Linked DNA regions of Lytechinus pictus. Each later gene encodes a partner of the first gene's protein in a complex. Links are inferred from orthologs where the notes say so. Each region holds a gene or a part of one and is shown on either strand. Other genes may lie near its edges.

The links.
Region 2: H/ACA ribonucleoprotein complex subunit 2-like protein (region 1) and H/ACA ribonucleoprotein complex subunit 1-like share a complex: the UniProt entries of both Drosophila melanogaster proteins name them as parts of the box H/ACA small nucleolar ribonucleoprotein (H/ACA snoRNP) complex. The link is inferred for Lytechinus pictus from reciprocal best matches to the Drosophila melanogaster genes NHP2 and Gar1.

What each region holds. Positions count from the first base shown.
Region 1 is NC_087256.1:25,670,076-25,674,001, reverse strand, and holds the start of H/ACA ribonucleoprotein complex subunit 2-like protein, read left to right. Parts: upstream 1-1,247; 5' UTR 1,248-1,381; coding exon 1,382-1,544; intron 1,545-3,876; coding exon 3,877-3,926. Other genes in the region: uncharacterized protein LOC129272326, read right to left, coding at 922-1,058. UniProt on the Drosophila melanogaster protein: Component of the box H/ACA small nucleolar ribonucleoprotein (H/ACA snoRNP) complex, which catalyzes pseudouridylation of rRNA. This involves the isomerization of uridine such that the ribose is subsequently attached to C5, instead of the normal N1.
Region 2 is NC_087262.1:10,790,252-10,794,177, forward strand, and holds the start of H/ACA ribonucleoprotein complex subunit 1-like, read left to right. Parts: upstream 1-1,526; 5' UTR 1,527-1,862; intron 1,863-3,926. UniProt on the Drosophila melanogaster protein: Component of the box H/ACA small nucleolar ribonucleoprotein (H/ACA snoRNP) complex, which catalyzes pseudouridylation of rRNA. This involves the isomerization of uridine such that the ribose is subsequently attached to C5, instead of the normal N1.

The DNA.
Region 1 (3,926 bases):
TCAATTTTGCAGAACATTTTTAGTGAGACACCAGAGCCATAATTTCTAAAAGAGAAGAAAATATAATTTGTATCAGTAGGGTATAATTTTTACTGATCATTTCGGACCAGTAAATCTTGCCATTTCTGAAAAGTTACTGGCCCCAGCAACAGCAATTTTTACCGGTCTGGCACCGTCGGACCAGTGCTAGTGTCGTGCGTGCGCTGGTTTATTGATATGTGACCATAATGACATTGGGACTTTTTGCCTTTGCGACTTTCTAGGAAAATGATTCTTCGGTCTTCTGCAGATACATTTCTTTTTCGGAAAACAAGACTCAGAGTTCTTTCCCTATTCGCTAGCACGTCAAAACACACTAAAACATGTCCCAACAAAAAATTTAAAATATCCCCAAAACTTTGAGATAATCGACATTAAATCAACAACTTGAAATTCTGATATTTTTTGCCGACATCAATTTTATTTATCATATCATGTTTATTGGCGGCGTGCATCGCCTATCATCATCCATTCTGATCACAATTCACAGCTCTAGTCTGACTTACACTACAGTACACTACACTGCAGGCATACAGCATTAATGCTTTCCATAAATTGGCTTAGCTGCATAGCCATAGTCATTCTAGGCGGCTAGGGCCTAACCTAGGCGGCTAGGGCCTAACGTTAGGCCCTAACGCCGCCCTATGGCTATGGCTATGCTATTGCTATGTCGCGTCGTGACGCGATTTACACATCCGACTTCTTTGCGGAACTTGGAGTTGCCCCGCGAATTGCGTCGTCGATCGCGTGTGACGTGTGTAGGCCACGGAAATTGAAGGCAGAACTTGCCATGCCACACACACATTTTTTTCGGGGGGGTGTCTATTTACCGCTAATTATTTAGGGAAAAAAAACATTATTAAAGTTACACCATACACGAACCTCGATCTATATGATCCTGGAGATGTTTCTGCATTTTCTCCTCCGTCATTCCCCATGCTTGAGTCGTCATTTTGCTGATTCTGAGCTGAAAAACCATCGCTCCCAGGCGCGTCTGTTTCTTTCTGTTCATCCGCCATGCTTGGTAATTAAGAGTTGCCAATTTGATTATTAATTTCGCTTTTATATCTAAGGGTTTTATACAAATAAGTATTTTTCTACTTATAAATATATTATTTTAAAGAAAGAAAATAGCTTCGGGGTGCAAAAGAATAGTTAATGCAATTCTTGAACGACGTTGCAAATTAATATGCGACCTTACAACACAGTAAATGTCACCGGAATCTCTGAAAGCGCCACGCCGCCTCCATCGGCGGCATAGCTTGTACGTATTTTTACGAATCGTATTGCTGTTACGTTGCGGTACAAAACACGTGGACCAATCAACATCATAAGCCTAAAAATGAAGTCACCAGCAGCAGTAAAGAATGGGATTGATCGCGCTGATGATGAAGCTGAAACACAAGAACTCACATATGATGAACTTGTTGCTCGTGTCTCACCCATAGCAAATCCTTTGGCTTCAAGGAAACTCACGAAAAAATTGTACAAAGTCATCAAAAAAGGTGAAATTGGAAATACAGTCCCATTCATTCGAATTTACGTTTGTGTTCATATTTATAAAATTATTTTATGTTTGTAATGTAGCCCACTTACATTGACGAGTGGATACCATGACCATGTGCAACCAAAAAAACACGTGAAAAGGATGTCTTTTTCAAGATAGGGTACGTTACGTAACGTAAACTAAATGGTAATATAAGGGTGTCAAAAACACTAAAATAACAGAAAAAGGGTAGGCCTATCTATTTTTGCTACCTACTAACTACTTCCAGTAGAGGCGCACGGCCAATATTGGAGACTGTCTCCAATGTGGGAGATTATCTCCAATATCAGAGACTTTTGTAAAGAATTTGGGTATCCAATTTCAGAGACAGTCTCCAGTTTTGGAGTCCAATTTCCTTTGTTTACATTTGCTGCAAAAGGATTACCTTGGCGGCAAATTAAAATGTGATAAGCAGATTCCTCATGAAAAATTACCCCTTTTCACCGTCTACTTTAAAAATTCACCGTCTACTTTTATTTTGATAAGGAATTTTGTTGTCAATCACACACAACACAAACAGACAAACGGGCTTCTGACCTCAGTGAGACAAAATTTTGGGTGGAAAAAATCATACTTTTGTTGGTGTTGTTTCTTTTGTCCTTTTGCAAAGCAAGTCTCCAATGTGGGAGATTGTCTCCCCTATTGGAGAGAGTCTCCCATATTGGCCGTGCGCCTCTACTGACTTCACTTTACGTATTTAGGGTCAAATTTGCGATGGTATAAAAATAAAGACTAAATTGTTTTATAAAATTAAAGGATGTACTTTTTGCCCAAAGAGTCAACACTACGTCACTTTACGTGTTTAGAGTACGATTTGCGCGAGGTGTGGGAGGTGAGGCTGTACTAATAAACCCAACGATTGTAGAAGGTAAAACCGACGTCAATGACATAATTAAAAATAAAATATTGCTGTACTTGTTTAGGGGTTACTTATTTACTTGGATGTTGAGACATAAAGCAATATGCTTATGTGCCCCTCGTTGAGTTTCTTATCTTTGGTACAGAAGGTCTGTACTTCAGAGGTTCAATTCAGAGAATACTTGCCAAGAGTATCGTTTTGTTTCCAATACTTAATGTTAAGGGTAGGGTTTCATCACACGCAATTACTTGTTATTGTTAAGGGGTGCATTTTCAGAATATGGAAAATCCGTGTTTACTTAGTTTAGGGTGCTTTTTCGAGACCCCATGGTCGCGCATGGTATCCACTCGTCAATGGAAGTGGCCCTCCTGGGGTTTGTAGATGGCGGTATGAGAGTTGGAATGAGATGAATGCGGTATGCCACTTGGAATGAGAAGAATAAAATTATCACTCTAAACCACATTGTCATTGAGTTAAAAATTTAATCGCCATACTTTTTACATCGAAACAAATACATTCAAAAGTATTGCAGAGACCAGGGGTGGTATTCTGAAAATTGTCTTAACCTTTCTTGTAATTCAGCAAGATAAAACAGCTTGCTAAAATTCTCTTAAATCGGTATTCTGAAAATTGTCTTATCTCTGACTCTGTAAGGACGTCCCCTATTTTATCTCTGACACGCCAAATATTTTATCAACCAATAATTAAACTTTTTATCAGTAGAGGCGCTGGTCAGAAAATTGGGATTTTCCCAGTTAATACTGTTTATACAGATCTGTTTCGGTCAACCAATAGAAGCGTCCTTCTTAAAAAATTGTTAAGTGCATTGTTGACACGCCGCGTAATTTCCTTTGCGCCACCGATGCTTATGCTTGTACACTACTGCGCTAAAATACATGTGGCTTTTCCCAGAGTCATATTTTCTTTGAAAAGGACCATCATCTCGAATGCCAATTTTCAATTGCTGAAGAGTCTAACAATCCGTAGTTATAACTTCTTTGGAATGTCTCCTTTTGTAAAACATGATGTTCTTGTGGGATGCAGCAAGAAATTATTATTGTTGACTGAGAAGTATCGCATTCAACATTAAGTTACAATAGCCCCGTACCTCTTGTAAATTTTCTTGTATTTTTGCAAGGAAGTCATCAGAACGCAAAGATAAGAGAATTTTCAGAATACCTTTTACATACGGTATATCTCAAAATGTTATCTTGCGCACAAAGATATTTAGGCGCCTCATTACGCATCATTATAGCTCTGACATACGCGCTCAGTGAAAGTTACAAGAAAAGATACAAGAATTTTCAGAATACGGATTTTATTATACTGTAACTCCAGAGATACAAGAATATTTCTCTTAAACAATTTTCGGAATACGGCCCCAGATTTTTCTTTGGTTTCATTTTAATATATTTATGGTTTTTCTTCCCAGCTAGTAAAGTCAAGATGGTCAGACGTGGGGTAAAAGAAGTTCAGAAGTTT
Region 2 (3,926 bases), on another chromosome or scaffold:
ACGGCATATTTACATTAAAAATATTGACTATATGACTCTCGAAGGAGTGCATGGGCCTGATGTACCCCCCCCCCCCTGGATCCGCCACTGAGCTTCACACATTTTACCTATCCACTTGTTCTAACACTGTCTATATCAGGGGTTCTCAAACTTTTTTTGTGAAGGGCCAGATGAGACTCCAAGTATACCTGAAAGGGCCAGGGTGAAGTGGATACTTAGAAAAAAATGTGCGCGAAGCGCAAAGACCCTATTGCGGCCGGGGTCCTAGATGCTCTCTTGTGCAATCTGGCCGTTGTCTTATTTTGGGAGCATTTAATCCAACAAATTTATAACAGTTTCATATGGAACGCAGGCAAAATTAGAAAAGATTTCAAAATACAGCGAGAGTCAATATTGATAACAAAATTGTAGTACTTTGTTAAAAGGAATCTAGATTGTATACCTTTACATACCTGGTATTGGGGAGTTAGATAATGTCTTAATTGAAGTATCAATATTTTTTGTAGTCAAAGTAGAATGAATAATAGAGCATGTCTGTTGTAGACTTTCACAAGGATGTCAGTCTCCTATAGTCACTTTCAATATGGGAAAAGTGACAGTCTGTCAGCAACAAGTTGCTTGAACCTTGACACAAAAGGTGTAATTGCCAGACGAAGGCACTGGTGCAAAATTAATGTTCACTGGTCAAGCAGGGGCCGCGGAAGCGGGGGGGGGGGGGGGGCTTCACCCAAAACCATGTGTACAAAAACGTAAAAATTACCATATGATTGTGATTTTTTGCATGGCCAGCCCCCCCCCCCCCCCCACTTTCAAAACCGTTCCGCGGCCCCTGTCAAGGTACTTCGGTATGAATTAATTCTTTAAAATGTTCATTGTGGAAAATGCACTTTCGCACCTGTATGTAGATCCAAACATGGTGAGAACAGCGCTCTAGTCATCTAATAATTAGAAAGTAGATCGAACAGACAGCTGCTCCACTAAACTTTGTTTAAATGTCAAATTAATTTGACTGCCATTACTTTTATTACGGTTAGGTCTACAACTATACACAATGTAATCATATTGAGCTATGTTTCATATTGTGACTTAATTAAAAGTGATTAAAAAAAACCCAGCAGAGTCTCGCGGGCCGGATTGAGAAGCTTCGCGGGCCGTAGTTGAACTGTTTATGAACCAATTTTTTTTCTTTGACATTGTGCAAAAGGTTTAATCGGGGTTGTCAATTTTTTTTCTTCAAAAAATTATATTTTAGTTCATTTTTTCTGTATGATTCTTGCCAAAAAAAATGAGTAATCAGTCCGCTTCTCACTAGTTGTCTACTACAGACTATGCCTGTGCCTCTCGATCCGTCTTCCACCCGAGTCTAATATAAATTCCTCTGTTCACCCTTCTCTCATACCATCTTCTTTTCCCTCTTACTTATTTCTGTATTCTCTTTCATCTTATCTCATAATCTCTTCTCTATAAAGTCTAATTATTTTTCTTTTAGGTGCTTCTCCCTATAGTCTTGAGGACGCAATGATGATGACTTTTAAAATCCTGTCATATATATACTTCTTCATCATTATGACATGATTTTAAAAGTCATCATCATTGCGTCCTCAAGACTACTTCTCTCCCCCCCCCCCCTTTCTCTCCCTTTCTCTCTAATCATATTTTATGAATGTGAGTCAATGGTAGACTTGTTCTTACTGTGGGTCGATGTTTTGGAAAGAAGTGGTCGCATTGCATTGTGAGGACGAAGTAACATATTGTTTGGAACCGAGACACGTGGGTGCTAGCTTAGGTTGACTTTGTGATACTGTCGTGTCGTAAAACCCACTATTTCTGCCTTTCAAAGTAAATTGGCGTAAGTGCACAAGGTTAGTATGGTTCGAAATAAATATCCCCATTTATAATTAATATTCATTTTGTTAACAGTCTTCCCAAATTTTTTATTAAAGATAAAACATTTGAGCATTGCTCCGGCCTGCGGATACGGTAATTCCATTCTGCTCGGACCGGCCCGAGCGGGGAGCTTCCCACTCCCAAACACGGAGGCTCCTCGCGGTGAGTTCGCTAGCTATCGCCGTTCGGCGGGTCCGGTGCTAATGCAGTTTCGCACCTGCCGACTTTGACTTTGTCTTTGAGAGAATTTCCCCACCAATAGATAGGGACAATGATTTTCCTGTTTCTAAAAATTGCCTCTTCCGGTTTAGAAAAATCTTAAACATTTCAAATTCTGTTTCAGCAGGACAAAACGTAACCCAGGGAGGGAGCCCAGGCATGCCAGGGCAGGAGCTAGGAGCATGAGGAGCTTACCGTGTATTTGACCATAGTCACCGGACTAGGGTGATTTATGGTCTAAATATTTCTCCAAATTAATTGTGAAAACAGAAAGTATACAATTGAATTACCACGATTATATGGATGAAGGTCTAAGTACGAGTGGCAGTTTCCTGACATCTGGGCACAAACTGGAACCTAAAAAAAACGGAAAAGTTCTCTCCTACCCCCGTCTCGATCGGCCATTTTTGTTAAAAATCGTAACAAAATGGCCGATCGAGACTGGGGTAGAGGAGAGAACTTTTCGTTTTTTTTGAGGTTCCAGTCTGTGCCCAGATGTCAGGAAACTGCCACTCGTTAGACCTTCATCCATATAATCGTGGTAGGTATACTTTCTGTTTTCACAATTCATTTGGAGAAATATTTAGACCATAAATCACCCTAGTTCGGTGACTATGGTCAAATACACGGTAAGCTCCTAGGCTCCCGCCCGTGCAGCGGGCGGGAGCTTCCTGGGTTAGACGAAACGGAAATTCTGTTTTTGTGTATATGGAAAATTGACGATTCCGTTAAACGGAATTGCCAATGGCAATGACTAAATTAGTAATGAGTCGCGAGGTCAAAATTTGTATCTGCCACTGTACTAACATTGCTTTAAAATCAATTTTAATTGAAGAGATTCGAGTAGATCTACAAAAACTATTATTATTAAGAAAAATCATTAGACCCTAACTGAGATTTTATTGCTGATTTGGGGAATTTTTGGACATAGGTTTGACTTTGAGCAGTCAACGACTTTCGCCTAATTGCCATTTTGGATTTGTGGAATACCGCGATCATGATAATAAGACCGAAGTCCGAACGCAGACATGGCAGAGCCAGAGGGCAGCAACATGGCCGTGTTTCTGCCTTAATACTGGCTTTATGCTGTCGTGAGTGTAAACTAATTTCGAGTGCAGTCACGATGTGTGGATTGTCATGATTGTTGTAGCGAAGTAAGATAATAATAATGATTGATAGGCATTTATATAGCGCCATCTATCTAGAAATAATCTATTCATACTCATACTCGTACTGTCATAGGCGCATTGTTTATTAATATTACCTCGTCCTCGGCTTTACTCCTTTTTAGGCTTTAGATCGTGTGTTTTTCCAGTTGATATTTGTATTTCGTTGAGAATTTGGGAGTAATTTCTGTTGCTATTCTGTGCATTTAGAGAAAAAATATGTTTTCCGTGATTTTTCGTTTGAAAAGCCATTTTCCGTTTCAAAAGGTTGATTCCGTGAATTACGTCCGTTTTCCGCAATAGCGGAAAGTCATTGTTAACAATAACATATTTCATATAGCAAGTCTCTCAATCACATTTTAAGATAATATATACCCACCACTTTACCGAATGTCGGGAACGGTTATATTTCGGGCCTTTCGGCTTCGATCTCGATGTCATATGACATTTGCGAACAATTACTGGTGGGAAGTTCTCTCGAAGTTGGTTCGAAACTTAATTAGCGCCGCGGGGCCGGCGTTGAATTTGATCCGGGCTGTAGTGTAATTCATAGTTAACTTCGTGATGCTGAATTTTCTGATCGATCATACACAGTAATCAATGCAATCCATTGTAATCAGCCCATGGTTGATCATCTTGCTAAACCAGAAAAAA